Diceros bicornis minor: one gene and its partners. The protein of the gene in region 4 interacts with the protein of the main gene of each other region in a pairwise test. Links are inferred from orthologs where the notes say so. Each region holds a gene or a part of one and is shown on either strand. Other genes may lie near its edges. The genes, in order: GAD2, SNX12, NDRG4 and ARL6IP1.

The links.
Region 1: the proteins of ARL6IP1 (region 4) and GAD2 interact in binary tests that used the Homo sapiens proteins (3 or more experiments, as listed by UniProt). The two-hybrid records come from large-scale screens. The link is inferred for Diceros bicornis minor from reciprocal best matches to the Homo sapiens genes ARL6IP1 and GAD2.
Region 2: the proteins of ARL6IP1 (region 4) and SNX12 interact in binary tests that used the Homo sapiens proteins (3 or more experiments, as listed by UniProt). The two-hybrid records come from large-scale screens. The link is inferred for Diceros bicornis minor from reciprocal best matches to the Homo sapiens genes ARL6IP1 and SNX12.
Region 3: the proteins of ARL6IP1 (region 4) and NDRG4 interact in binary tests that used the Homo sapiens proteins (3 or more experiments, as listed by UniProt). The two-hybrid records come from large-scale screens. The link is inferred for Diceros bicornis minor from reciprocal best matches to the Homo sapiens genes ARL6IP1 and NDRG4.

The regions. Positions count from the first base shown.
Region 1 is NC_080775.1:25,385,116-25,392,622, reverse strand, and holds the start of GAD2 (glutamate decarboxylase 2), read right to left. Parts: upstream 3,018-7,507; coding exon 2,942-3,017; intron 2,265-2,941; coding exon 2,205-2,264; intron 2,018-2,204; coding exon 1,868-2,017; intron 885-1,867; coding exon 651-884; intron 1-650. UniProt on the Homo sapiens protein: Catalyzes the production of GABA.
Region 2 is NC_080781.1:64,391,712-64,398,901, forward strand, and holds the start of SNX12 (sorting nexin-12), read right to left. Parts: upstream 3,019-7,190; 5' UTR 2,965-3,018; coding exon 2,800-2,964; intron 1-2,799. UniProt on the Homo sapiens protein: May be involved in several stages of intracellular trafficking.
Region 3 is NC_080771.1:11,749,912-11,757,183, forward strand, and holds the start of NDRG4 (protein NDRG4), read left to right. Parts: upstream 1-4,256; 5' UTR 4,257-4,305; intron 4,306-7,272. UniProt on the Homo sapiens protein: Contributes to the maintenance of intracerebral BDNF levels within the normal range, which is necessary for the preservation of spatial learning and the resistance to neuronal cell death caused by ischemic stress.
Region 4 is NC_080765.1:33,438,722-33,446,549, reverse strand, and holds the start of ARL6IP1 (ADP-ribosylation factor-like protein 6-interacting protein 1), read right to left. Parts: upstream 3,009-7,828; 5' UTR 2,935-3,008; coding exon 2,899-2,934; intron 714-2,898; coding exon 580-713; intron 142-579; coding exon 22-141; intron 1-21. UniProt on the Homo sapiens protein: Positively regulates SLC1A1/EAAC1-mediated glutamate transport by increasing its affinity for glutamate in a PKC activity-dependent manner.

The DNA of each region.
Region 1 (7,507 bases), on a different chromosome or scaffold from region 4:
ATTCCCCTCCCCCCCCTTTTCTTTATCTTCTATACAGAGTAACTTTGAGGCACACACATCCTTATATAACATGGCTGATTTGTTAGGCTAGTTTGTATTGTGTTTTCTTTTGTGTGCATCTCTTTAAAAATAGAGAAAACCTGGAGTTCAAATCTGGAGTACTGGCTATTTGAGACAATGCCAAAATATTATCTCTCTGGTTCTATGATTACATAGGGTGGTTTGTCCAATTTCTGGCCATTTCTATGCCAAGGAAATTACTAGCACTACACTGGTATTTGGGTTTTTGTTTGGATCATGTCTTTTTAGCTTTCATTTCCATATTCCCTATCTGTCTCCATTTTGGGTTGCTTCTACTGGCCTCTGCTGACAAATGCTTGCTTCTACGTCAGGGGTTAATTCCCATGGCCAAATACGTGCAATGTAAAATCTGACAGTTTATCCTTAGATCATGTTTCTGATATCAACCTCAGAAGCATTAACACATTAGTAAAGGATGCTTTTGACTTTAATTATTCTAATAATGACTATTTTTAAAAAATAACTGTTATTTTGAAAATAGTAACTTCATGAAAGAAGAAAAGATTTTTATAGAAAAAATAAAAATTGTAAAAGAAAAAAGAGCTTTATTATTTCTGATTGGACAATACCTGTTTTAATTGCATATTTTAAAGTTGTTTGGCAATGCATCAAAATTTCCTCCAAATTTTGTGGCTGGTCTGCCAATTCCCAATTATACTCTTGAAGAAGCTCATTAGGGTAATGGAAGTCAATCACTTTGGTTGATCTATCGAAACTTTTCACCACATACTGAAGCAAAATGTCCATAACATCTTGCAGAAACGCCAAAGTGGGTCTTTCTCCATCACACGCTGGCAGCAGGTCTAAAGAATGGAATCAAAATGCCATATTTTAATTTTACTAGGAAAATATCCAGGTAAGATCTTGATTTAGCAGTTTCTCTTTGAACCGAGAGATTTCATATTTTTTTTTTTAAAGAAAGCTTTTGGAAACGCAAAGCATTTTCTTTAAAGGGGAGGTATTTTTCAAAGACGAAGGAATGAGAGAAATTACGATTTCTCCCCCAACCCCAAATTAATTCTTGCATTTCAATTCATAACTTATTGTTTGTTTTCTTTTGTAAACAGAGTGTGCCTCCATTCATCTATTTCACAGGGTTCGTCCTAAACGTTATTTCTCAGTAAATCATCTTAAATGATTATGGAAATACTTCACATCAGAAATATTCTTTGGGTGAACCAGGCGAAGTGGATCGTGCAATGTTAGGATATCCGACCTGTTCCCAAGGCGCGCAGTTTCCAAAGTCAGTGTGTGTGTATCTGTGTCTGTGTGCGCGCGCGCGCGCGCATGTTTGGGTGACTGCGCGTGTAGGCGCAAGGGAGTAAAACCGCGCGCAGGTCTCACGTGAATAGAATCGTTCTTCTGTGAAATCAGAGCTACAAATTACTCCTGCGATCTAAAGACCTAGAAAGTCTCAGCAATTCTGAACTGGAAACCGAGTTCCACTCGAGAGCTTAGCGGCACCAAGAAGCCGACCTCGAGCTCCGGCGCGCGCGGGCGCCTCGGCCACCCGCAGACCCGAGGGAGGCGCTAGGGGAAGAGCGCGGCGGCCCCAGAGCCCCCTTGGAACGCCGGCACCCAGAGCCACGCAGGCGCCAGGGTCGGGGATTGCATCGAGGGGGCAGGCCCAGCGTTTCTGGATTCCAGATTCTCGTAAGGTCCGCCTCCGCTCTCCACCTGGACTCCTCGGGTCAGGCTCCCGGCGCCGGGTCACTCCTAGCCGCGGTGGGCGGGGCAGAGCGAGGAGCAGTGGGCTCGGGGCGGGGGGGCCGCGACGCGCCTTTACCTGTTGCGTGTAGAAACGCATAGTTGACATCCGCTTTGGAGCAGCTGCAGGGCTTCTGGTTGCAGGAGCAGGCGGCCTTCCGGGAGGTGGCCCGCGGGGGCTCGCTCCCGCCGCTCTCCGCCGGCTTCTCGGCGTCTCCGTAGAGCAGGGCTGGGAAGGACACGGAGCGCGCCGGTCAGCCGCCCGCGGGGCCGGGCTCCCTCGCCCCCGCCCATCCTTGACCAAGAAACTGCGACTCCGCTGATGGGGATGCGAAGGCGAGAAGGCAGCTCTGCCCTCGCGGGCCCGGAGGCGCCTGGCCAAGTCCGCCCCCATCCCCCGGGGCACTGGCACTCACCGCATAGCTTGTTTCCGATGCCGCCCGTGAACTTCTGGGCCACCTGACACCAGGCTCTCGCTGCAAGGAAAAACAGGCAGGAGGACAGCCAGGCAGAAAGAAAACAGCAGACGGACGTGTGAAATTTCGTTCCACGTGAACAACGTCAATAAATCCGGGGTCCAGGAGGGGCCGCCCGGGGCTCGGCACATCCGGCAGGTGCGGGAGGTGCGCGGGAGCCGGGCGGCCCGGACCGGCCCTCGGTTCGCTGATTTGTTTCTCAAGGAGCCCAAACTGCGGCCCTTAGCGCCTGCCTTCCAGGTGCCAATCGGTCAGGCAAACTCCCCTTCCCGCCTCCCTCGGGCGAGTTTTCCTAGACGCTGAGGCTATCCATTTCCTCGCAGGCTCTCCTCCAGACCAAAAATTCTTTCCCCTTTCTCCTTTCCCCACCACCACTCCGTTTCTCTCCAGGGTCCAAACACCAAGATGGTGGCAGTGCCCCAGGCCCACGGAATTCGGTGTCGAGGAGACGCCTCGGTGTTTGGGGGGCTCTCCCAGACTTCTTTGGGCATCTTCTCCAGGGATAAGGACCTGTAGGGGGTTTGGTCTTTGGGGCCATCAGGGACCTACTCCAAGAGTAGGGCGAAGCGTCTTAAGTTTCCTGTTGCAGGTGGAAAAACCTCCTTCGTCTTCCTCCTAGCCCGACAAACCCCACTCCACCCGCAAAGCTCGCCTGCTGCAGGTCTCTGTTCTCCTACCTGTGCCGGGGTTCTCGGGATCCCCGGAGCCATCTTCAGACCCGAAGGACCAAAATCCTGAGCCGGGAGATGCCATCGGCGCTGCAAGACTGGAGCAGGTAGCCTCCGAGTGCGAACTGTCTGCGAGCTGCCCTCGGCTCGGCCCTGCGCGCGCGTGCGTGCGCCTGTGTGTGTGTGTGTGTGTGTGTGTGTGTGTGTGTGTGGCGGGAGGAGGGCACCGCACGGGGACCCACGCGGCCGCGCGGCAGAGAGTGTCACATAGGGACAGGAAACGTGCGTGTCTCTTTCTGCGTGCGCGCGTGTGTATGCGTGTTGGGATTAGAGCTTAGAGACGTGGCGACGCTCTGAAAGCGGTGGAGGTTAAATAGGGAAGGGGACCGAAGGGTCCTCACAACCGGGAGATGAGAAAGCACGGAGCGCGCGAGTGGTTTTGAAGGAGAGGGAGCCCAAAAGGGATAGATGAGGGGGCGGGGGAGGGAAAAAAACGGGAGCGGGAGGGTGCTGAATCGTGAGGGTGCGAGGCAGACAGTGCGCACGAACTGGAGTCAGAGCGTGTGGGTGGGGGGCGTTCGGGCGAGCCCCCGGAGAGCACGAGGCGTGAGGGTGCGGGCGGCCCCCGCCGGCCCGGATGAGCTATCCAGAGTGCTGACGCGGCTGGCCGCGCGCCGGCCTCAGCGAGGGGTAGACCAGAGAGACCTTGGCGAGGCGGGAAGGGTGGCGGAGGCGAGCGTCTTATATACGCACCGATTGGCGTATTGTTTGAGATCTGGCTCCGGCTGCGGGGAAGGAGACGCGATTCTCGTTCGGTGCTGAGGTAGCTGTGACCTTGAGAGCCCGGGCGGCTGGGCGGAATGAGGATCGGTTCTCGAGCTTGGAGACGGGACGCTGGGGGAGGAAGGGCGCCTACGCACTGATGGGCTCATTTCAGCTCCTTGGTAGAGCTTGATGCCTGCCTATTGAGCCGCGCGGTCCCCCGGCCGCACCATTCCTGCGCCTCGGAGCGCGCTGTCGCCCGACCCACCATCCAGGTTCTGACTGACGGCAGGGGAGAAAGACGGCTGATTGAGGCAATTAAAATCCATGCTGGAGTCTATCACTGAGGACCTCGGGCTGGGGAAAAAAATAAAACGAATGGGAACTTCTTGTAAGGGGGCGAGGGAGAGCAGCTAGAGCTCGCAGGATTGACGGCTGATGGGGGATGGGATCGGGTCATTTGGTGACCTTGGCCCGGGGAGGCGTGGAAGGACCGCTGCTTACGTGTGACGGGAATCGGTGTGTGCGTGGGAGGCGTGCACAGAGTTTCCAACCAAGCAATCTGAGCTTTCCAAATCCGAGGCGGAAAGAAGGCATCTCTCGCTGGGCCTTCGTTTTAGCGGGCCTCAAATCAATGACCTCCTCCCACCCCAAGAGAATCCCGCACGATAGTGGGAGTGGCTGGGCGAGATTCGCTATTTCTGATGCCTGGTGGGAAGGGGTTTCTCCTTTCCTGAGACAGTCAGAGTCTCCCCTCTCTTAGTTTCCCTTCTCTAAACGCTGTTAAACAAAGGAAGGGCGCCCAGAGAACTTGGGGCTCGCTGAGTCCTCGCTGCTTTCCCTTGGCGGTCGAGAGCAGCGTCAAGTACAACCTTGCCGCTCCTGGGTTCTCTGAGAGAGGGCGAGGATGAGACGGGGGAGAAAGCGCTGCGTTCGGCCTCCTGGGGCGCGCATTCCCCACGCGCTGCTCCCCTTAGATGAGCGCTTTTCATTTCCATTCTGTTCACAATCCGTTCTTTCTCTGACCTCCTGAACCAAGTCACCAAAGCTGGGGCCAAGGCAGAGACCCACGGATCCTCAGTCTCGGCTACCGCCCCTCGATCCTCGCTCAGGAAGGATGTCGTGGGCCCCGGGATGCCCGCGTGCAAGCCCAAGTCCTGTGTCCCCAGGTCCGTGGGGGCCTGGTCAATTCTCTCCCCAAAGCTTTGTCCTCTTCCCACGTGCCCGAGCCGGGAGGATGCGTGGCATCAGCACCGCGGCCGCCGCGCCCCGGCCTGGTAGTGGGGACGGGGAAGGGCGCTGGCAGGGTCCCACCGGCTCCGCGTAGAGCCGGCTGTGCCGAGAAGCCTGCACCAGGCTGCGGGCGCGCGGTGGGCACGACCCCAGGCCCCAGTTCCGTCCCTCTGTCCGGCGCTCCGCGCTCCCGGCTCCAACACTCCAGTGGACCCAGGTAACAACTCCAGGGATGTAAAGACTTCGTGGTTCCGCCGTCTGCACCGCGGGCAGGGCAGCTCCGCACGCCTTGCTCCAGCAGTGTAGATACGAGTCGGAGAGACCGGTTCTTTGTTTAAATCCACACCAAATCCACTGCTAATGTTCTGCTTCAAGCCAGCAGGCTGGGGCTGCAGAACTTTTCTATTACGGATGAGTAGTCGAAAACATAAAAGTTCTTTCAAACAAGGGTTTAACACAATACAAAGGCCCGAAGGAAATAACAGATTAAAACACGAGGAAGGTAGAAATCGCAACACCTGGATTGAACGGATTTTTTAAAAACGCAATGACTTAAAATGCTACTATTTCGACTCCATTAAATCCCGCAGCTCCGGAGTCCTTTGAATCTAACGGTGGTATTTACATTTTTTATTTAACACACCCTACTTCAGATGCACACGCGGATCTGATTTGTCTTTCCTTCTCGCCGTCCCTCCCTAGACGGCAATTTGCTTTATAAAGACTTTCATTTCGCAAAAGAGCCCACTCCCCCCTCTCTCTGGCTTGGGGTTGGAGATAACAAAAGAGCTCAGGGAGGTAATAATTACAGTCATTAGTTCACAAAGGAGGCAGCCACCGAGTGGGGAGGGGAGGCGGGCCAGCGCCAAGGAAAAGCTTTCCAAGGCCCTTCCCCGAATCAGGGGCGAGAGACCCACGCTCTGTGGGGGGGCTACCAGGCCGGGCTCCTTGGTTGACCTAGTTCTTGTCCGTGGTTTACCCGGAGATCGTGTTGCAGGCTCACCAAAGGAGAGTGTCTGGTATATGTTTTCCATTCTGTCCTCCCAGTGCTTAAATGTCGAAGGACAAAGAAAGAAGGGGAGATGGAAAGAGAGAGAAAGAAAAAGGAGAGAAAACAAAGACATACAAAAGAAAAAAGGACAATAAAAACATTGCAGCCTTTCACCAAACGTTTGCCATTCTTTTGTCCAGTCCCACTTAAAAGGGTCGGGAGGAGTTTAGGGAAGGGGCCTGTTGCCTCCCCATCCAGCAAGGGCAGGGCCGGGCTGCCAGGGCCACTCCAGAAGCCTGGATTGAAGACAGGGTCTGGCAGCAGAGCGGAGCTCGGCATCCCCCACCCCTCCGGGTCTGCTGGTAGTGGATGGACGTGTGGGTTGGGGCGGAGGGGGCCGGGCCACCTCCAGTTACAGATATCCGTCCCTCCCCCTAGCCGGAGTACGGTGCCCCGCGGCGCTGGTTCCGTCGTGCTAGGCCCAGGCTGCAGCCCTCCACAGCGGAGCCGTCGGTCTGCACAGTCCGGGTGGCTCCTTCCTCCGGGTCCCCACCCGAACGGAGGTCGCGGCGCGAACCCAGGGAAGGAGCGGGACCTAGAGCGCACCTGGACCCCGATCTCAGCCCCGCCACAGCGGGAGGCTTCCCCTCGCGCGGGTCTCATCTGTAACCTGGGGACCTTTCGGCGTCCACATCTTGGGTTGGAGAAAACCTTACACCCAGTGGGCAAGCGGCACATCAAACGTTATTAGCCGGCTGCACGCGCCCTGACTCTCCCCTGGGCTCGGAGTTCATGGGTGCAGGAGCCGAGGGCACCCACAGACGGGACAAGCCCGTCCCAGCCAGAACTCTTCTCTCAATTCAGTCGTCCATGAAACCACCGCGACCCCCTTCTTCATCCTCTGCAGGCCGCGTAGACACGGAGGGTGTCAGTTCCGAGCTTAACCCTGGTTTTAAAATACGATGCAGTCAACTGAAGAATGCAAACCTCTGCCCACCCACTGCCCTCCCCTACATCTCAAATACACCAAAGTTCGGCGCAGCGGAGATTGTCTCAAATCTGCACACTAGGAAAACCTGAAAAATCTGAGTTCAGCTCAGTGCCTGGACCAGACTTCTTATAGGCGGGGCCAAAGGAAGCCACCTTGGTTGGGAAGGCTTGTTTGTGTGTGTGTGTGTGTGTGAATGTGTGTGTTTGCCCTCAGTGTGTATGTGTGTGGGGGGATTTGTCTGGAGGTCACGTTTGTATGGCAAGTGCGGGGTTTTAACTGAGACGATATGTTTGTTTGGGGTGGCTGGTGGTGGTGGGGAGTTGTTCGCGGATGGAGACAGAAAGTACCTCACTCCCCCTCCCTGGGCACCACCACCTGCACAACCAGACGCAGGAGCCCGGCCCCAAAGGGGAATGTGGAGCACCAGTCCCGAAAGCCACGGATTTTACAAGGCACTTCCTTTATTTAGTAACTTTAATAACCAAGGGAAGACAGAGCTTGAGTTTGAGAAGAAGGTCATCTTCAAAGCTACCCCCTCCCCGGCCCTCCTCCCGTCGGGGCTTTGTTCTGTTCGCACGGACTCAACCCGTCCGCGAGT
Region 2 (7,190 bases), on a different chromosome or scaffold from region 4:
AAAGTCAAGGGAAAGGAGAGAAAGAAGCAAAGTTCAAGTCCACAGGACAAATGACATTTGAAAAATTCCATACACATCATGTGAAGTCACCAGGACACCTCTCCAGACTCCTCATTTCTTGAGGAGGTGGGGGGAGGATTCTTTCCTGAACAAAATGAAAGGGAACAGCTTCAGAAATATTTAGCTATTATACAAAGAAAAAAAGTCAGTGCCATCTGCTTCTACCATACCCAATACCTAACTCTCAAAGCCCATTCTCTGAGTCTCATGCTCCCTGTAACGCCTACATCCATCAAACACTTAAAATAGCAATTTAAAACCAAATGACTGGGCCGGCCCCGTGGCTTAGCGGTTACGTGCATGCGCTCCGCTGCTGGCGGCCCGGGTTCGGATCCCGGGCATGCACCGACGCACCGCTTCTCCAGCCATGCTAAGGTCGTGTCCCACGTACAGCAACTAGAAGGATGTGCAGCTATGACGTACAACTATCTACTGGGGCTTTGGGGAGAAAAATAAATAAATAAAATTATAAAAAAAACCAAATGATTTTACAATTTTTCCCCAAAACAGAGTTCAATAAAAACATTAAAAGCCTATATAGCCATACAAATTAACATAAACAATACAAACTAACTCAAACTTGCGGAACTAGGAACTGCCATCAACCCTATCATCACCATACAATTAGAAATTGTGGAAAAGACAGATGAAAAGCTTAGCGGGTAGACAAATTTTGCACACTAAAGTTTTGCAACTAAGCATTGCCAAAGAGGCAGAAGTGTAGTGGAAAGATTGTGATGGGCTTTGGGGGTCAGACAGACCTGGGTTCAAACACCAGCCCTGCCACTTATTATCTATGTGTACTTGGGCAAGTTACTTAAACTGCATTCCTCCTCAGTTTCCTACCTGCAAAATGGTGTTTTCATAAGGATTTAGAAACTAAAACCTAGTTCAGTGCCTGGCACATTGTAGGCACTAGATGAACAGTCTCTGTTGTTATTAGAATGCCTGAAGTACAGAGCTATTTTATCCATAATCCCTAAGGTTCTTGGGTAATGCATCAAGACAATGTCTCCAAACCTCACAGCAGAGAGTCCTTATACTGAACAAGGTATGCCCAGGCTTCCTCAGGTAAAGTTCTCTACCACGAACAGTTTCCAGCTTTTATCATATTTTGAAGGATCTAATTTCTATTCTTCCCCAAAGAGATGAGTTCAAATAGTTCTTTTTTCTTTTTTTGTGAGGAGGACCAGCCCTGAGCTAACATCCAATGCCAATCCTCCTCTTTTTTTTTTTGCTGAGGAAGACTGGCCCCGGGCTAACATCCGTGCCCATCTTCCTCTCCTTTATATGAGACGCCACCACAGCATGGCTTAACAAGAGGTGCATCGGTGCGTGCCGGGGATCAGAACCGGTGAACCCAGGGCCACCACAGCAGAGCGCGCGCACTTAACCGCTTGCGCCACTGGGCCAGCCCCCAAATAGTTCTTATATAGACGAGTTTTTCTCATTTTTTGCTATTCGCTTTTCTTTCTTCAGTTTGGACTTGGCCTAACTTGGAATTTGGAGATCATCATTTCTCAATTGGATTTCAAAGCCCAGGTACGAGAGCACAATCTCTCATTTATTTCATTCATTCATTCAAAACTGAAAGCACATACACTCTTTTACGTCTTCAAATGCTATCTGAGCAGCATGCTGTCCATAGAGAATATTCTGGCCTTGTAGTCTGAGAAGAAAACATAAGGAAAATTACAAAATGGTTCTCAAACTTTTTTGCCTATAACCACTTCAACTGGGCAAAAGAACCTGCAAACTGTGTACTCTATTCTGCACATTCCATCCTTGCACTGTGGACTAAGAACTAGAGAATAAAGTCCTCTGCAGTGCACACTGGCAGAAGCCACTCCTGGGGCAGTCCTGAAATGTCATCTATTAAAGTAACTACAGACCAGGGTCTGAATCCAGAAGGTTAATCTAGGACAGAAATGAGAGCCAATAAATATTAAAATCAACATTCTGGATACTTCACATCTAAAAGATCAGCACGGAAAGCAGAGCAGCTACTGACAATCCCCCAATCCCAGTGCAAGGCCAGGTTTCACAGAGAGACACAGCATGTGGTACCTGAGAAAACTTAAGCATAAAATACTTCTCTCCTTCAGATGCTAATTCTACTCAAGTCCGGGAAACACTCGGTTTCAAGGAGACTCCCTTTCTTCTGCTCCACCAAGCCCACTGCCTCCCTTTTCTGGAGTCTATTTTCCCTTTAATCCAGGCTTTGTTTAACTCCGTCATCCCAGGGAGACTGCATTAGGAAGAAGCCGGGTCTTCCTGCTGTCCCTCTTCAGACTGACTTCCCACAACATAGTTTAGTTATGGGACCCAGTGATATATCGCCGTGGCTTTCCATCCCCCAGCCCTCTTCCACTCTTCCTTCTTTCCTTCTGTCGCTACAGTCATGATTTCTATTTCCTTGATTCTTCACTCTGATCTCCATCCTCCTCACCCCATCCAGCCATGCTTCGCTTCTTGCTCCTGGGTACTTGTTTTCCCTCACCCCGGTCCGATGTCCCCCTCAGGAGTTTTCTGTACCCTCGAGCCACAACCGAGTCTGCAGACGTCTCTCCAAATCTATTAAGCTCTACTAACCCCCAAATGACCCCTTCAAGCTTCTTCTCCACCGTTAGTCGTCCCTATGGCAGCCTCCCCCACCCCGCCCTCCCCGCCCAGCCGCCCGGTCCTCCCCGCCCAGCCGCCCGGTCCTCCCTCAGCTGTCTCCCTCACCCCGTGACTCACCCGCATGCGAACCTCATAGGTGGTGAAGCGCGCGCGGCCCACGCCCACCGTCTGTGGATTAAAGATGTCGATCTCCAAGAAGTTACTTGGCGGCCCATAAGCGTCGGTCAGGTCCTGCGGCTTCGAGTTAAGGCGCCGAGTGTCAGCTACTGCCGTGTCCGACATCTTTCCGAAGGAGAGACCGGGACCAGGGAAGGGGGGTAAGGGACAGAGGCCGGAGGGAGGAGCGCGCACGGCCCCTCCCGCTTGCAAAGTAACCAGCCAACCCACAGACAGCGGCGCCGCGCACGCGCGCCCACGCACGCACGTACGCACGCACGCGCACGTTGCCCCGGCCCCAGGCCCGGCACCCTGAATAGCGGCCAAGCTGGCGGTTGTCTGTGCTGTACAGAGGACGCGTCATTCAGGCTTCCGGGTGGTGTTTGCGGCTGCCCCGGAACCTGCATTTCCAACACGCACCACCCAATATCCTGGGAAGCCCTCCAGGCGCTATGCGCCAATCGCTGCTCCTCAACCCAAGAAATTGTCTTATATACCATGTATCAGTCAGCAGTGGGCACTGCCCCGCAAACTAGGATCCTACAGTGATCGGCCAAAGTCCCGTGACCTCAATAAGTCAGGGTTTTGCGCAAAAATAGAAGGATGGTCTCCGGAGGGTGGGGTTCCAACAACAGTACTAAGAACCCAGAACGAAGCCTCGCCACTTGTGCGACTGATAGTTTCCATTCATTCCACGCGCCATTGAGCACTCAATGAGCACTATCTACGGTGCCAGGAAAGCAGCGAGGATGGGGTAAACAAAGATGATTTCTCATTCTCACTTTTCAGGAAAATTTGGGCATATCTTCATCCTCCACTTGTTGCCACATAAAAGCTAACTCCAGGTGTACTCAGGTATTACATTTCTCAGCAAATTGAGGGCATTTATTTCATACCTTCTATCTCTACGCTGCAGAGCTCCATACTTGGCACTGCTCTGAGGTTGCTTGCAGCCCACAATAGAGAGAGAATACATGTCTACATGAGAATATCTATAGAAATATGTATTAATATTTATATGACTAATTTACTCATCGCCCACTTGAAGGGGAAGTGCCCCACATTAGGGGTGGTGATTTTAGGTCATCCTTTCTCTTTTCTGCACCTGCCCTCATCTGCTCAAAAAAATTTCCCGTGTCACTGATGCCTGAAATTCCTTCAACAGAGTACAAGGCCCTATAATTTCACAATTAAGTTATCTAATTCAATTTAACTGATATCTTCTAAGCAACTACTTATGTGCCAGGCACCATGCTAAACACTAAAGACCTAGAGTTGAATAAGCGAGTTCCTGCCCTCAAGGAGTTAACATTCTAGAAAGGGAGACAACTAAATAAAACTGATATAATGTGACAAATACAAAATAAGCGAATGTTCAAAGCAGCACACAGGACATGAATAACTGGAGGAATTAGGGAAGCCTTCCTGGAGGAGGAAACATCTGAGCTTGACAGACATGAAAAGATGTAAAGGACAAATAGAAGTGGAAACGGTGAAAGGTAATTTCTTGCAGAGAGAATAGCATGTGCAACGTCATTCCGATAAGAAACAGCATGATATTTTTAGGCAATTATCACCACTTTGGATTGTGTAATGGAAGTGCTTAGAGAGGTAGGCTGGCTGGGGACGGGCAGCTGAGGGTTATACTTCTATATTAAGCAAATGATCTCTGGCTTTATGATGTAAGCGATAGGGAGCCACTGAAGGACCTTCAACAGGAAAAAGACATGATCAGATTTGTGTTTTAAAAGGATTATTTTGCAGGCAACATGGAAGATGTATTTGAGTTGAATGTGACTAATTAAGAGAGTATCGACAATAAGACTTGGAATCTGGTGGTGATGGTGGGAATGGAGAAAAGCGAGGAGATAGGACTGAGATTGAGGAAATAAAATAGATAGGACTTGTATCTGATTAGATGTGATGGTAGTATAGTATAGGGCTTAAGCATGTGAGCTATGGACTTAAGCTATCTGGGTTGAAATCCCTGCTTCCTAGCTATATAACCTTGAGCAAGTTATCCAAACAGTGTTCATCTGTAAAATGGAAATGATAAGACTAAAAGCTACCTGTGGGGCTTTTGTGAGAATTAAATAAAATACATGCAAACAATAAGTGACCAGTAACTATTCACTATTACTACAATTTGAGGGGAGAGGGACGAAACTGAAAATGACTCCTAGGTTTCTGATTTAGGTAACTAGGTGGATCCTGGTACCACAAATCAAAACTGGAATTACAGAAAGAAGAGTAAGTTTGGGAGGGAAGACAATGAGTTCAGTTTAGATAAATCTGGGGTGTCTGTAGGACATCCACGTGGAGATGTCTAGCAGGCAGCTGGAAATACTGGCCTGGAGCTCAAGGGTGTGATCAGGGTTAGAGAGAGAGATTTGGGAGTCGTCAGCGTACAGTGTAGAAAGAAAAATGTGAAGAGGCAAGGACAGAAGATTTAAAAATTGGTGAAGGCGTGCAGTGTTGATGAGAGTGTAAATCCATACAATCTTTCTGGGAGGCAAATTGGTAGCATATATTTAAAAAACCTTTGACCTCAAGAAACTTGTAATACTGCTTGTCTCTGGAGAGCAGAGCTGGAGAACAGGAGTCAGGGATGGCAGGGAGAGTTGTTTTTCATTTTCATTTCATTTATGTCTAAGTACTTTTGTATTTTTAAAAAATTTTTAATGTTATTTACCAACTTTTGACTCGAAAATTTCCCTTCCAATAATTTATCCTGAGAAAATAATCAGATAATTACATAAAGATACCAGTATACCGATCTTGTCTTTTTTTTTTTTTGTGAGGAAGATCAGCCCTGAGCTAACATCCATGCTAATTCTCCTATTTTTGCTGAGGAAGACCAGCTCTGAGCTAACATCTATTGCCAATCCTCCTCCTTTTTTTTTTTTCCCCAAAGCCCCAGTAGATAGTTGTATGTCATAGTTGCACATCCTTCTAGTTGCTGTATGTGGGACGCGGCTTCAGCATGGCCAGACAAGCGGTGCGTCGGTGCACACCCGGGATCCAAACCCCGGGCAGCCAGTAGCGGAGCACACGCCCTTAACCGCTAAGCCACAGGGCCGGCCCAGGATCTTATCTTTAAGAGCAAATAATTGTACATTTTATGCAATGGAATATTTGTAGCCATTTTTTTCTAATTTGTGAATTTGTTTATATGATGAGTCTTACAAAGGAGTAGTGGGTTCTATATTTTACAGACTTTGTATCTCAGTCACTTCCATCATAAAACTCAGTCTCCTGTGTAAATGGCCAAATTCAGGGTTCTCCTATGTATCCATTTAAAATAATGTTCTATACTTGTTGATATGGAATGATGCCCACAAAAAAAGTGAAAAAAAGCTGGTAAAAATATTGTAATATGATACCCTTTGTATTACTGTATATGATATATATAATAATTTTTAAAGACTTGAAGGATATAAATCAAAATGTTAGCAGTGGTTACCTCTGTGTGGTGGGGTTTCAGTTGGATTTTATGGTTCTATTTATAATTTTCTAAAAGACCTGATTTTTAAACAATGAATGTATTTCTTTATATATATTCTTTATTTCATCAGAAAAAAAAAAGCTATTTCCATTTGAGAAAAAAATTAAAGGGCAGGCATGGGAAGAGAAGCTTATGAAGGAGACCAGGGAAGAGTGGTCATAGAGGTAGAAAGAGAACCAGGAAACAATAGTGATCTGAAGGGGAGGGATAAAAAAATGTTTCCAAAAGGAGCAAAGAGGTGGTTAAAAGTGTTGAATACAGTAGAACGGTTAAATAAGATAAAGCCTGAGAGATGTCCACTAGATTTGACAGTTACCTAAATGAGAGCAGTCTCAGCAGAGCACTGGAGGTAGAACCCAGACTGCAGTGGATTGAGAATTAAATCAGAGGTGGAGAAGTGGAAACATTTAGTAGAGACTATTCTTTTGAGAAGCTTGCCTAAGAAAGGAATGTGGTAGCTAGAGGGCAATGCATTGTCAAAGAAGGATTTGTTTGATTTTTAGAGAGAAGAGACTTGGATATGTTTAACAGCTGGGGGAGGGGGGAAGGATTTCATAGAAAGTGAGAAGTTGAATATACAGGTGAGTAAAGGGATAAGGCTTAAAATCAAATAGCCCTAGGAGAATTGTGCAAGTTAAATTCACAATGAGGTGTAAATATACGGTCTTTTTTTAAAGAGAAAGATTTGATAGGGCAGAGAGAAGAGAGTAGACAGTACTGGGCTAATTAAATCCTTTGCAGTAATAGCGCGATAACAGCTGTTACCAGCTGGCTTACACGCACACACCTTTTTGCTTTTCATGAAAGGCACAGAGCTTCACAGTTACCAAGTGATGTTGGGCAAGGC
Region 3 (7,272 bases), on a different chromosome or scaffold from region 4:
AAGGGAACTGGAGGGGGTCTGCTGTCTTCTGGGATGGGAGAGCAGACAGTGGGTGTCTCGAGTTACCTGGAGAGCAAAGGGCTGGCCTTGAGGGAGGAGGGTCTTGACACGTTGTGGGAGAAAGGGGGTGGCAACATAGTCAGTGAGTGGTCCAGGGTGGCCCAGGAGCAGGGAGCAGACAATCTGGTGGCTGGTGAAATTCCAGAGCCAGACTGGGGCCAGGCACTCACCCCTGCCCACTTGCTGGTCCCAGCTTCCTCACCATCTGCTCACACATGCCCAGCATTCTCCACCTCAACCCCCGAGCTCCTGTTGGGGGCAGGGCTTCAGCGTGCTGAGCTCTGTGCCTCCCCGAGCTTAGGTCATGGCTTGGCTGACCCAACATATGATGGATGGATGGATGGACAGATGGACGGACGGGTGGATGCTGCTCTCCCCCAATCACTCTCTTTCCCATCTCTATCTGCTGAAATTCCACCTCTCTGCAGGCTCAGATGCCTCTTCCTTCGGGAAGCCCTTGCTGATTCCTCCAGGTCCCCCACTGTACTGCATGGTAACCTCAATTGCACATCTTAGCAGAGTGTGCCCAGTACCTAGATTATGGGACTCTGAGCTGGTTTCCTCCATCAGTGCATAAACCTTAAAGGTCACTGGTCAGCTCTGGTTCTCCAATGCACGCCACAGCACAGGGCTGGGCACGAAAAAGGCACTCACCCGATCCTAGAAAAGAAGAGAAAGGATCCGCTCGTCTCTCCCTGAGGTCACCTGACTCGTGATTAGTGAGTGAGGGGTGTTAGCCGGGGGATGAGGGGGACAGTTCCTGCTCACCCTCCTTCTGCTGATAGAGGAAGCTTCCATGGCTCCAGGCTCCTGTGCGCCCCCGACTCCACCTGCTAGTTCTTTTCACTTGCTCCCAGTCATGGTCACGAGGGGACTGGAGCAGGATGGTGACTCAGCCCAAGTCATCACCACAATGGAAAAACCCAGTCACCTGTCCTCCTGGCAACGGGACCGGAGCTGCCTCTGCATCTGGAAGGGCAGCAAGCCGTACTGTTTTCAAGGTCCTTTTGTCTTTCACCTGCTAAAAAATCAAAGACTGAAGTATGTAGGGGCACCATCGGTTGACACTGTAGATTTGCGGTGTGCTACGAATCTCAGCGACCAGGGATCGTGTGTTCCCTCCATGCCAGGCTCTGAGTTAAGTGCCCACGAGCATCATCTCACAGCAGTTCCACAACAAGTCCATTGTTATCTGAAGTGGGCACTTGTCACTCTTTTGGCCACCAGCATCTGACACGCCCTTCATATGAGGCAGAGCCCACCTCCCACTAAAAGAACCGAAAACACCTTTTCCCTGCCTCCCTTGCAGCTTTGGCAGAGGACCTGAGGTGTGCGCCTCCAATCGGACACGCCCATTCTTGACTGTGAATTAGAAACTGGTGACACAAGGAAGCCAAAAGCACACAGGATGCATTCTGTCGAGGATGCGGCAGTGGCAGCAGTGCCACCTCTGGCTTCAGAGGCAGCCATGGTCCTGATGGCCGTGTCCAGTATCCTTGCCCAGGGACGCTGGCCTCAGCATCTAAGCCCGGGGGCGGCAGCAGCGGTTTTGACACCAGACTAATGCTGCAATGTTCGGCCTGCCTCCTGAGATCTCGAGAGCAGCCCACCCTCCCTTTAACAAAGGACTTTTCTGCTTACACTAGCCAGAGTAGGGGTCTCTTTCCTGCAACTACGAGACTGATTTATTAACCCGAGTTTCCAGATGGGGAAATGCAGGCTCAGAGAGATCTTCAGAAAGGCTGTGTCTCACCTCCCGCCAGGGTGGAGGCCAGCCTTCTCCTGCCTGTGGTACAAATGGGAAAAGGGGAGTCCAGAGAAGGGAACGACTTTTGCAACATCTTTCAGGTAATAAGGAGCAGGGCTGGGGGGACACATCTTAGAGGTTCTTGTCTCAGCCAACAGCTTGGCCCTCTGCCGTGTTCTGCTTTCCTCTGTTAAAAACCCTGCCATCCAGCCTCCCTCGCAGGGATAAAGAGAACCTGGGAGCAGAAGGGACTGAGAGCTTGCCCTTCTGCTGACTCAGCAGGGACTCCTCTTTGCCCCCATGAGCGACTCTTCCAGAAGGGCCAGGGCCCCTCTACCTGGCTATTCCCTAAGCACCTGTGCTTGACGTAATAGCCCCTATGGGAAGGGGTTGTTCTTAACACCACATTTCTTCTTCATCTATTAAGTCTCAACTTATAGGGGTTCAAATCCTCAACCCGACCCACCTGAATGCTTACTTGGGGTTTATAAATTATCTGAGCCAAGTGGATCATCCACGTTAGTTCAAGACCATGGCAGATGGCATTCCACACAGAATGTCATTCCATGACATTCCACATGCCATAGTGTCAAAGCTCTTGTTAGGCAGGCCTTTACATCCTCCTGGGCCTCTGGTCCTCCAAGGAATTCGGAACAGGTTGGACCTCGTGAATTAGGTTACTAGAACATCAACAATGAGTTTTGTTCAATGACTAGGTCTGAAATTACTGAAAAAGGGTAGAACTCAGGAAAGCCTGAAAGAATTTCTAATGCAATAATAACAATTCCATCATCAACAATCATAGCAACTATTTGTTGAATATTTCCACCATGTGTCTGGCACTATACTAAGCACTTTCTTTACGTTCCATCATTTAATTCTTACAGGAGCTCTCTGCGGTCAGTATCATCCCAATTGCACAGAATATGACACGGAGGCTCAGAGAGGATGAGTAACTTGCTGGACATCACACAGCCGAGAAATTGTGGAACCAGCCTGTGCTCTTAAGGACTGGCTCCAGGCTCGTATATATAGAACCACAGTCTCCTGGATGTTTTGGACATAGAGGCTTACTCTGTCACCACTGACCTCCCCCCATCCCCTTTACAAATGAGGAAACTGAGAGGCAGGGATTTCCGCAAGGTTAGCCCCACAGCGGTAAGGAGAACCCTTGCCGCCTCCTATGCAGTTTATATACTGCACCCCAGCAGGAACATGCACACCGTCTGGGGCCACCAAATCTTACCAGCTTCCTCATCCCCTGAGTCAGTTAATTCAACACCAAAGTAGCTTCCACGGAAGCCTGGAGCTGAGGGAAAGCTGGGACCTGACCACAACCCAGCTCAGATAAGAGAAGATGGAGGGCAGGTGGGGGGTGGGGGCGGCGGGGGGCCTGCAGAATCCTCTTGACCTCCCATGCCACTGCCATCCTGGACATCCCAGGTGACCCGCTCCAACACATCCGCTCTGCACCGAGAAGGCCGGAATCAGGGAGCGGCAGAGCCCCGCCCAAGGTGACCGGCAGAGGCTGAATGGAACCCGGGTCTCCAGGAATCCTCCTCTTGAGCCGTCCTGCCCAGGTAAATTTTTTCACGTCATCAGATTTCCGTTCTCCCTACAGTAGGACTCCATCCAGGGGCTCCGGCGCTCCCTCTTTTGGGGTGACAGGTGAGAACAACATTACTGGGCCAGACCAGAGTGAGCCTGAGGAAGACAGGGGTCTCCCAGTTCCCTTTCCCGCTCAGATAATGGAGGAGCAATTGAGGGGAGCAGGGATCTCGCCAAATTTTGGGGGATGGGGTGCCGACCCTGCGGACCCAGAACATCTCTGCCTGGAGACAGTCACTCCCGCTTGAGTTCTCCAAGGAAACCCTTGGGCTCTGAAAACCGGGGACGATGTCCCAAGGGCCTCTGAGCACCTGGTCCTTCCCGACCCCCCAGGGCTCTTCCCCGGCGGTTCCCAGGCGGGGGCAGGGGCTGGGGAGGGGGTGCTGTCTCCACCGCGCTGGGGTTCCCCTCGGGAATCCAAACAAAGCCGGAGGCAGAGGCCGCCCCCTCCCCCGGACACCCGACGCCGCGCGCCAACAAGGGGACTGGAGGGGCGGGCGGAGCCTCCCACGGCACCCGGCGGAGCCCGAGCGGCGGGGACCCTTCCTCCGGGCCTGCGGGAGGTGAGAAGCGTGCGGATCGACCCGTGTCTCCGCTGGGCTCGGCGGTCGCAGCGTCCCGCTCGCCCACCCAGCCGGCGCTCCCGCCGCGGCAAGAGGCCGATGAGCGCCCGGGACGGCCCCCCGGGTCCAGGCCGCGCCCAGCCCCGCGGGCAGCGCCCACGGCCGCCACACCCCGCGGGCACGCCCCCCGCGCCGTCCCCCGCCCCCGCCCCCGGCAGCGTTGGCACCGCCAGGGCCCCCGGCTGCCGCACCTGCACCCGCGTTGGCGGCGGCGGCGCCGAGGCCCGGCTCCCCGCCTGCGCGTCTGTCTCGCTCGCATCGCCCTCGGTGAGTCCGCGGCCCCGCGGCCCGTCTCCCCGCTCCTCCTGCCGTGATGACCGCGACCAGCCCCCCGCCCGGCGCAGCCTCCCCCTGCGACCCCAGACCCGCGAGCCGGGCGCCTGGTCGCCGGGGCCATATTTCGCCTACGCGCGGGCGGCAACCCTGCCCCCCACCCCCGGGCTCTCCCTCCTCGCCTCCCCCGCTGGGCGCGGGGACCCCCAGGGCCACGGCCCCGCTGCGGCCCGCGCCTCCCCCACCGCGCCGCCCGGGGGCGCCGGGGCCTCTTTGTTCGCGCGCCGGGCGCAGGGCTCCTCCTGCCGCCTCCCCGAGTGTCGCCCGCACCCACCCCGCGCGCTCCCTCCGCCTCCCGGAGTTCACCCCGACCAGGTGGCAGCGGGCGCCTTTTAGGGGTGCGCGGTCGTGCAATTGGTGGATTTTTTTTTAACCGTTTTGGAAGGGGGGCGGCGAGATCGCGGCTGCCTCCCGGCTGCTCCTCCTGCTGCGCTCCTCGCCTCCCGCGCTCCTCTCCCCGGCTCGGCCGAGCGCGCTCCCCCGACGCCGCAGCCCCGAGCCGGGCAGCGCCGGGCGCCGAGATGAAGGTGCTGGGACACAGGATCGAACTGCTGACAGGTACCGCCCGCCCTGCCCGCGGCCGCCCTGCCCGCGGCCGCCCCTCGGCGCGGCCCTCGCCGCCAGCCCCTTTCGGAGTTGGAGCGGGAGCCAGGCGCGGTGGCCGGGGTTTGGGGCGGCTCGGGTTCGAGCAGGAGGAGGGGGTGCGGATGCCAGCGAATTCCTAGCCTGTGCGCTGCCTGTTCCTGTGCGGAGCCCGCCCCTGGAGAGGACTTGGGGCCGCGACTCGCCCGGCTCCGCTCTCTGAGTCCCGGGTGCCCGGCGTCCCGGCGGGTAGAGCGCGTGCGGCCGGAGCTCGGGTCAGGGGAACGGCCCCCCTGGACCCTCCGGCTAGCCGACTAGCCGGGTTCCAGAGGGGGGAGGGGAGCTGAGAGCCCCTGCCCTCCAATCAGTGTCCCTCGGTCCCCCAAGCAAGGAGCGCCCTGGGCTCCTGGCAGGACCCCTGCCGTGGGCCTCTTATTTCCTGCTCGCTGTGACCATCTGAGCGCCTCTCCCGAGGAGAAGTTTCTTGCTGGGAGTAGAGGCCAAGTGGCCTGGGAAGTGGGAAGCCAGATTGGACCTTGATGACGGGGGACTCTCAGCCCTGGGGCTGCTCTGGAGAAGTGGCCAGACACCTAGCTGGAAACCACATCCAGGGTGCTGGGGCTGGAGATCAACAGAGGACACTGAGCTATGCCCGGAAGAGGAGGCAGAGAGACAACAGGGACAGAGGGGATCTGAAGGGGGTGGGAGATGCTCTTCCAGGCATAAAGGACAAATCACACAGGCGGCTTCTGTGGTCTTCCCAGGGCGGAGGTTGTGGAGAGACCCAGACGGGAGGAAGGAGGCTGGGAAAGGGCAACAGTCAGGATCCGGCCAGGGCCTGGGCGTGGAGGCCCTCAATCAGTGTGTACTGGATGGACACGTGGGTCCCGGTAAATGTCCCCTGGCACCTGGGAGGGTTTGGACCCTGACTTCCAGGACCTTACCGTCTGCTGCAAAAGAACAGAGCACAGGAGCCCTGTTACAAGACAGGGAAGGGGGCAGCAGTGTGGGGTGCACGCGGGAGACAGGTTGGAGTCTGAGTCGGGATGTGAGGAGAGCAGAGAGGTTTGAGCACGTGGTGGCGCATTTGAACTGGACCCTAGAAGACAGAATTTCTATTACTAGAGAGGGGGGCGGCATTACAGATTGAAGGGTAGAGGGACTGGCATATGCAGAGGCTCTGAGGTGTGTGGGAGGCTTGAACCAGGAGTGATGTGGAGGCTGGAGGGCCCGGAAGGGGCAGGGGAAGAGGTGGGCAGGGAATGAGGTCTAATGAGGTTTCAGGCTGTGAGTCCGTGTTAAATCAACAATGCTGCTCCTCAGCTCCTGGCAGGCTCAGAGAGAAGGGAAGGTGGGGGCTGTTCCTGGAGCCCTGGACACTCTGGCCAGGTGCTCAGAAGTGCCGGTTCTGGGCCCAGTTAGCCACTGGGCTGGCGCTCCTCCAATCCCTTTTCCAACTTTCCCTTGTGGAGCTCTCTTGAGGCAGGCGGGCTGCCTGACTGTGAAGGGAACTGCACAGGCCGTTGAGCTTGTTAATTACTCCCCCGAGGAAAGTTTGTACAGCCCCAGCGGTGTTTAGAGCCCTGCATGCAGGACGGAACTCCTGGATCCTTCCCCTTCTCCTCTTCCAGCACCAGAAGAGCCTGGAGGAGGAATGCTCCCAGGAGGCGTGTATGGGGAACTCCACTGGAGGTCCAGGCTTTGGGGTTCCGAAACAGTGTGCCCTCATCTTCTGGGTACAAGGGTCAGAGCCCCTCCTCCCTCATCAGACAGGCTCAGCTGGTTCTGGCAGACTCTCTAAGCCCCTGGCCAGGCTGACACAGGACTCCCTCAGTCACTGTCATCAGTCACAGGGTCCCCTTGCACCTCTCACGAGGCCCTGGGAGATCATGCATCCCTCTGTCGCCGCCTGGTGGTCTTTACAGCCTTCGCTCTCTCTCCAACTCCCTTCCTGATCTCTTCCTTGTCCCATGGATCTGGGTTCAAATCCCAGCCCCACTGCCGGCCAGCTGTGTGATTTCAGACTGGTCGCCTAACCTCTCTGACCTCAGTTTTCTCATCTTAGAGATGGAACTGTTGACCCTTCCCTCTGAGAGTTGGCGCGAGGCTCACTGAGAGAACACAGGTGCTGGGGCCTTGCCCTGGTGGGCACCTCGCCGGCTTTGTCTCCGCTCTGGTTCCTGGACCATGGCTGTCCCTGTAACGGAGCTCTCCATCTGCCCTGGCTGGTTGGCCACTGGGAAGTTTGGGTCTGTCCGCAGCCCACTTTATCCCTGCTCCCATGCAGCTGTGAGGTTTTGACCCATCTTCCCCGTCAGA
Region 4 (7,828 bases):
CCAAATCCTTGGGCCACCTACCATTTATTGGAGCCAAAAATTCTAGGTGCCAGAATGGGAACAAGGTAGTCAGCCAAGCACAAAAACATAACAAAACAGGAAACACCGGACAGAACAGATGGATCTAGATAGTAGATAGTCCTGTTTTAAAAAAAAAAAAATTAATAAAGGTTAGAAAACCATAGTTATTATTATTCCCAGCTGAAGATGCTTATTCACTGAGTCCTCTGGTTCTCAAAGATGTTATTTGCCCTTTTCATTCTAACTTTCTCACAAGTGGTTTTCCAAAAGCTTCATGACATGATGACATCATAGCTGCAATGGTTAATGCAAATACCAAGAAACAAAAGCTCTTTGGGGTCCTCAATACTTTTTAGGAGTGCAAAGGGTCTTTATTCAACTGCATTAGGTTACTGAGTTTACATAAGTACTACAAATTCTGAAAACTAGGCGAACTGCTCTAAGGAAAGGCATTCTTTACAGATTATACATTACACAAAAGACTAAATGAAGGCTGTGTATGACCTGAGCCCTTACTAATAACAAGCACAATCCATAGCAATTGAACAGTGCACTTACAGAAACACCAGAGAAACCACCCCCATGACGGCAGGTGGAAACCAGGCTCTCTCCCAGCGCAGGACCTTGTCAGCCATCAGCATCACTTCTCCCCATCCTTGCAGCTGCTCCTCCAGACTCGCAGTCTCTGCAGCCTACGCATGACCAACATTTAAAGCGGTCATTTTACCACTCTCAACATTTCTGTGGTTCCTAGAGAGTTAAATTCTTCCAAGGCACCAAGTGTGTGTGAAATAGCTCTTAACCAAATCACTATCTTAAACAAGTTAGTTTCCAAAAAACTGCAATTTTCGTACCAAAGACAGAAATTAATGGGGAAAAAACTATCATTTAATGGTCCCCGTCCAAGTCCAAGTACTGGGCTATTATTTACATACACGATGTAACATAATCCTTATAGAGCCCCTCAAGGTAGGGACAATTAGATCCATTTTACAATGAAAGAAAGCGAGCTCAGAATGGTTAACCAACTTTCCCAAAGTCATGCACTAAGTGGCAGTGCCCAAAGTATAAAATTAGATCACTTTCAATTCCCCCATTTCAGGTAGTTAGAACTGATCTGCTGTTTTGTCATTCCATTGATTTAAACCCCTCCTTCTAAATCCATTAGGAAAGCCTCTCCCTGAACAGCAATTTCTAAAATAGCTCTTTGTGTAATGGAATCATTTAGATGTTGACATCATTTACACAATTAAGGAAAACTCGCCAAATTATAAGAAGCATTTTAGCTCAATATATCTCCTTAATACAGAGCTTCTTACACTTATCAGGACATTTTAGTTAGACCTCAAATTTCTCTGCAAATCTGACTATCAGCTGAAAGCAGACTTCTAGGATGAGCTAATGCGGCAAAAAGCCCTTAAGCTGATTTGGGTAGAGGAAAAAAAACTGGAACATGTCCTTATAAATGTTATTACAGGGAAACATGCAAATAACAGGGGAGAGTGCAGCTTAATCTTAATGAAAATGCTATCTGAGCCACACTGATCACACTTAGGTGTCAATATTTCTGACTTCATATACTATGCTTAATATAGTTAAATAAGCAATTACTATGTGCCAGAAACTCTGCTGAGTATTTTATATGCTTATATTTTAATCCTCCCAAAAAGTTAAAAGGAAGGTGGCGTTACTAACCTCATTTTAGAGAAGAGGAAGCTGAGCCACACAAAGGTTAACAGATGTGAATCCAGGAAAAAATAAGGTCAAAGGCCTCGCTCCCCTTAAAGCTACACTGCTCTGCTGGGCAAGAGCAGCTGAGCACCAGGCCAGGATCTGTCATTTCAACAGCTGTGTGAACCTGGGCAACTTCTTTGTGCTTCAGTCAATCCTCTTAAAAGCAACCTGGCTAGGGCTAACTAAGCACAGCACTGAGAAGGGGTGTGGTCTGTGTGTGTAACGGGGCAGGTCATGCGTTTCTAAAAACCAATGCAAAATGAAAATCACGCACAATCAAAACTGCCCTGCAAAGTCACTTAATTCGTTAGCACCTGGGCTCTCGGAAAAACCAAAAGTGAAAAATTAAATTCTTTGGTTCCTCTATTCATTGTGGTTGTGGCGTGTGGCCTGTCTTTCCCTGGGGAAAGGCAACGGAGAAAATGCACGGATTTCTCTCGTTTTTGCCTAGATCATGCCGTGAAATTCGCAGAGGGGTTACACTTGCCCGCCTGGGATACCATCTCACTGCGGTTCCTTCGGACCCCTGCTTATTTCTGAAGTCGTCCTGAGACCCCCCCCAAAGGCTTACAAATTCCAGACCAACGCCAGGACGCCCACTGTCCTTCCAGCTGGACCCCACGCCCAGTTCCCCGCGGCGAACTCGCAGCCTCCCTGCCGTTTTAAGCTGTGCCAGCTCTAACAACCGGGCAGCAGCCCTTTGACCCTCCACTCCTGTCCAAGTCTTGGGGGGAAAAAAAACGAAAGGACATCCAGGTTAAGATCAAGAAGGGGGAAACCCGGATGCGGCTGGGGCCTGGGCCCCCAAAGCGCTCCACAGGCCCCTCGCGGCCGTCTGGCCCAGGCTGCACCCCAGGCTCGTCACAGCCCCCTCGCCCACTTCCTACTCAACCCTCTTCGTGACTGATCACGCGCCCTCCTCGGCCGGTCCGCACCTTCCCCAGGGGACGTCAGGGGTCCACACGACTAGGGACTGCCACCCAAGAAGCCCGAGGGGCAGGCGTCGTCGCCTGGCCTGGGAGCCGGGAGAGGAGGGCCGGGCCCGCCGCGGTGACAGGAACGAGGCCGCAGCGCCGCCTCCCTGAGCCCACCCACGTCCGCAGGCCCCGCTCGGTTCCCCCGCGACGAGGCCCCGGGGCTCACCAGCAGGTTGGTGCTGCGATTATCTCCCTCCGCCATCGTCCCCGAGGTGCCGCTCAGCGAGCGCCAGCCACCCTCCAACGCAGCCTTACTGCAGGACCCGCACAACGACTCCAGCGCGAGGGTACGCCCCGCAAGCCGCTTATATAGGCTGGCTGCCTTTCCCGACAGACCCCGCGAAGCTCGCTCCTCATTGGGCAGATCGAGCTCAAGCTTAAGGGGAGCCGGACCAACCGCTGCCCAGCGCATGGCTTGAAATCGAGGTCAAAGGCGAGCGGGGCCGCTCCGGGCCGAGGGGGCGGGGCAGGGACTGACCAATCAGCGCCCAGGAGATGTGCGACGCCCCGCCCAGGCCTCTCGGCAGCGGTTGAAATGCGGCCGCCCCGGGTCTGGTTTGGCCTCGCTGGCCCCAGGCGTGGACGCTGCGGTCGTCTTCGGAGCCTCTTCTGCTGGAGTTCAGAGCAGCTAAGGAGCCTCTCTGGAATTTAGTCCTCGAAGAAATATGCCACGCATATCAGGCGGAGGGCAGAGATGGGCCTGGGACGCTAACCTCGATGTCATGAAGGGGGTCGGCTGGGACCCCCTTCCCCACCAGGCGGGTGCCCCCCGCCCTCGCTGTGCCCCTGGGCGGCTCCCCCTTTCTTCTAATCCCCGCTCTGGTCAGGCCACCGGGCGGTTTAGCCCAGACTTGTGACTCGGAGACTCGTGCCCACCTCTTGAGGTTTTGAGGACAAATGAGAAGAGCTATTTATGTAGATTTTTTGCAGTTTTTCCTTCCTACCCATTAGTAATACGGCCTTAGCTTGATAGGGAGGGAGGAGGATCTGGGTCTAGTTTGAGAACTTGTGAAAAATGCACTGACTTATCAAGTTGGCTTATTTACGTGGAGTCTTTAAGGAAATTCCTTGTGGGGCACTTCAGTTACTTAGGAAACTGCGAGCTCCCTATCCAAAAAAGGACTCGTTTTGACAGAACCTTTCTTACACTGTAAGTCATGCTAAGGAAAGATGCAAACCGTGGGATTCAGAGGCAATTTAGGAATTAGATGAACTATGTTGAGACACTTCCTTTTCTCTCCAGGATTTCAACATGCATTAACAAGTGCTTTGATTTTCTTTACTTGGTACAAACAAAATCAGGCCAAATGTTGACCTGGTCACATTGTCTGTTTCAGGAAAATTTATCATAGCTTTTAACTTCCAGCCTTTTATCCTTTTATAGTCATCTGTATTATGCCATCGAATTTAGATTACTTTAAAAGCATTCCTTAAATAACTACCAGGTTCTTAAGAGTTCAGGGAAGGCATAAAGAAATTTGAGAATACAGCTATAGCGCACATGCAGCTCCTAAGAGAACCAGGGGGGCAGGAACATTGTGAATTTCATGAAAGGGTGTGAAATTTGCCATGGATCTGTGAAAAAAATAAAGCAACTGGATTAGGTATCAACACTTGGTGGGGGGGAGCCTTTGCAAGGGAAGGGGCCTCTTCAATAACGTGCCACTTTGGGGGATGTTGGGGGAAAAAAACAGGTGATGTATGCAGTCACATAGAGACCCCATTTTGGGAGACTTTAAAGCTATCGAGTCGCAAGCCCTCCCCTACCTCTTCAAAAGAAAATTAAAAGGTCCCTAACAATCAGCAGCCACATAATAGTGCATATGTTGAGCACTTTGAAGGCAAAATTTGCTTACAGGCACAGTAACATTCACTGCCAAAGGCGAGGCCAAGGAGTTATTAGGCTTTAAACATCGACATTTCTACTTTTGGAGATCAGCTTTTGCTACAGAATGCTTCTGGTTTTCACCCAAGTTCCCTATGTACAACTTAAGAAGAAAGACTTTTCAACACCAGCTTGTGAAATTGAGGTAGGTGAAAAGAATTTAAGTAACTCAAACAGCAGAAGTTCTCCATGGAGTATTTTTGTTACTCAAGGAATGTGTTCCCAGACCTATCTGCAACTTCAGAGCCTAAGTGCTGCTGTAAGGTCTGTCTTTAACTTACAATTGGCCTTATTAGAGGGAAAAAAAAAAGCCTACCCTTAGCGTAGCTTCCTTTTGTGCTGTTTTTGTACTACAAGGACAGGATGTGATCTTTTGAAACGTGCCAAATGACTTAACAGTTAACATAAACCCTCCTAACATAAACTAGCAGCAACAAATGCAATCTGATTTCCAGATAATGAAACAAGCTGGACATTTTAATTCTGTTCTCCTTCTGAGCTTTCATACCCCAGGGAACATACATGTCAATAATGTTCTACAGTTTTGTTTAAATATTGACAAAATTAAGCTTAATACATTGTACCTTAATACTAAGAACTTTCCCACTGAAGTAAAATTTCCACTGCTGTTCAAAAATAGAACTTGGAGGGTAAAAAATTTACTTTTTAGAGAATTAAGCTTTAAAAAAATTTTTTTGGAGGTATTAATGCTTAAAAAAAAAAAAAACTACCCATATTCCAAAATTAAGTTTTCTGGAACCTACTTCAACCAATAAATTCAGAGCTTAAATGCTATGTCTTTTAAGACTTTATTTTTTGAAAAACAGGTATTTCATACAATCTTTGCCATGTTAATGCAAATATGCAGAACATAGGCATGTATTTTTGTTTTCCAAAAGATGCATTACGAACATTTTCAGGAAGCTGGTGTGATTTATTCAACTTTTAATCTTAAATACAATCACAAAATTATACCCATCAGGAGGCATTACAACCTTTTGTACAGAGAAGCCACTTTATTTATACAATGTTACTGGGACAAGGAAGATTCAGTTCAACTCAATTTGCTCTTATAATAAGGGTGAAGGAAATTAACAAGTAAGTGAAGTATGATGGTGCCACTGACATTACAGCTGGAAATATAAGGAAATTTAAACCAGAAAAATAACTGACACAAGAACTTTAAACAAGAGCTGAAACTTGGACTTGCAGGAAAAGAAAAAGAAAAATCAGCCTGTTTTGAAAGAAAGAAAACATTCTACAAGTCTGCATTTCAAAACAAGCAGTTCCTTAAGTTTACCATCTTCGAAAGTCAAGCTAATTGTATGACATTTTTACATTAGCACAACAAACAGCTTTTCCCTAGTAAGCCCAGTCAAATTCCCACAGAAAGCAAGAGACTCTAAGCAGTTCATGTTGTACCACTAACCCCTGAACCTATGAAGCTTCTCTCAGCCTGAGTCCATTTGCCCTCCTGTAAATAAGGGATGATGACAGTTACCCAGGCCTAAAAAGCAGGAAAAGTGCAACACACCCTTAAGAGGTTCATAATACAGTGAATTTCCCCTTCCCCAATGTCTGGAAAAATCTATAATGCTAGCTAGTTTTTCCCCACAGGAGGAAACTTTCTAATACAACCCAACTACTTTCTTTAAGTGACCCTTATTTAATATATTCTACCTCCTTGATTTAAGTGGGGGGAAGTCCTAGCTCTAAATTACTGGCATTTTACAAGCTCAAGAAGATATAGAATGGAAGGTCAATGGTTCTAATTTTATGTAAAACAAAGGTACTTAAATTGCTAATAATAAAGCAGTCACTGATTTTTGATGTATATGAATACGACTAACAGGCTTATTGTAGGTGCTTTCTTCAATAGGAAAAGAATTGGGAGAAAAGAAGAACCAGCTCCTTTGATTTTAGTACTGCCAAAACAAGTAAGCCCCCAGAGTAATTACAAATATGTGGAGGAAAATAGGCCAGGAAGACTTTTCAATTTAAAGTACTGCCTATAAAACCCCAGATTTAAAAGGAACTAAGATTGCACATCAACTGTAATATTTGGCTGTACTTGCATTGCCCTGCTCGGCAGTTTTTAATGGCTCTTTCCTTAAGTTTCACACATCAGAACAACCACAATTAAAAAACAAAAACAAAAACCTGCAATTAAACCAAGGCAGATAACACCAAACATTGGACAATATTAAGAAAACTACATACTAAGCCTTAAGGTAACAGAGGCAAGTGTTAAGGGCAGAAGTGATGGAAGTTTTTCTTTGTATTATAAACCCTCACCCTGAACCTGGGGTTTGGGGTCTAAAAAAACCATTTAGGGAAGCAGATCAAGAGGCTGATTATCAGTTCTCACACAGAAATCTCACAGATCTCAAAAACAACTCACCACAAGTGTCAGACACAAAAGAATCTTAACAATCACCTAGCAAACTGTTAAGAACTCATAACCGGAAATAATGATACTGCAAGACACACCAAAGAAACAGAGTAAAAGAGAAACACAGATACAGCTCCATAAACTACTAAGCCTCCACTGCTTTGTAGAGAAATCAACTAAAATTCAGGCAATTCTAGGAAATGAAGACAACAAAACACTTAAGATAAACTTCAATTTCTAAGGGTACTCTGAATTGAGGAAGAGGTTGTAGGTTATTCTGTACCCCCTGAATCTGAGAAAGAGAGAGAGAGAGGGAGGAAGAGAGAGGAGGAGATCCCTGGTTTTCCATAGGTATTGTGTATCATCAAAAATGTATGACTTCATAACCACAGCACTCTAAACTTTACATTAATTTACAAGATAATCCCCAAAATATAGCCTTGTCTTCTCATTCTGCTATTATCACTGGGCCTTTTACCACTGATTAAATCTCTAACTGAGTTCTCTTACAACAGTTCCAATGGCAAGGCTACTTGCAGAATGACTGCCCAGAGGAAGTCAACTGTACAGACTGGAGGCCCGTTGTCGAGTGCAGTAAAGAGCAAGCTTTGAAGTCACCAGTTATTCATATCTGCCCCACAACCAAACAGGTATATGCCACAGTATTCTCTGAGGGACCATTTTAAAATAAAAGCGATGGATAATTTACCAGAGGCACATGTTGATATAAAGCTGTTTTGTTTTTGCTTGGATAAGGTGCCAGGTACCTCTGAAGCCTGAATTTCACAGGCCATAAAATTCACCTATTTCATTTATCTT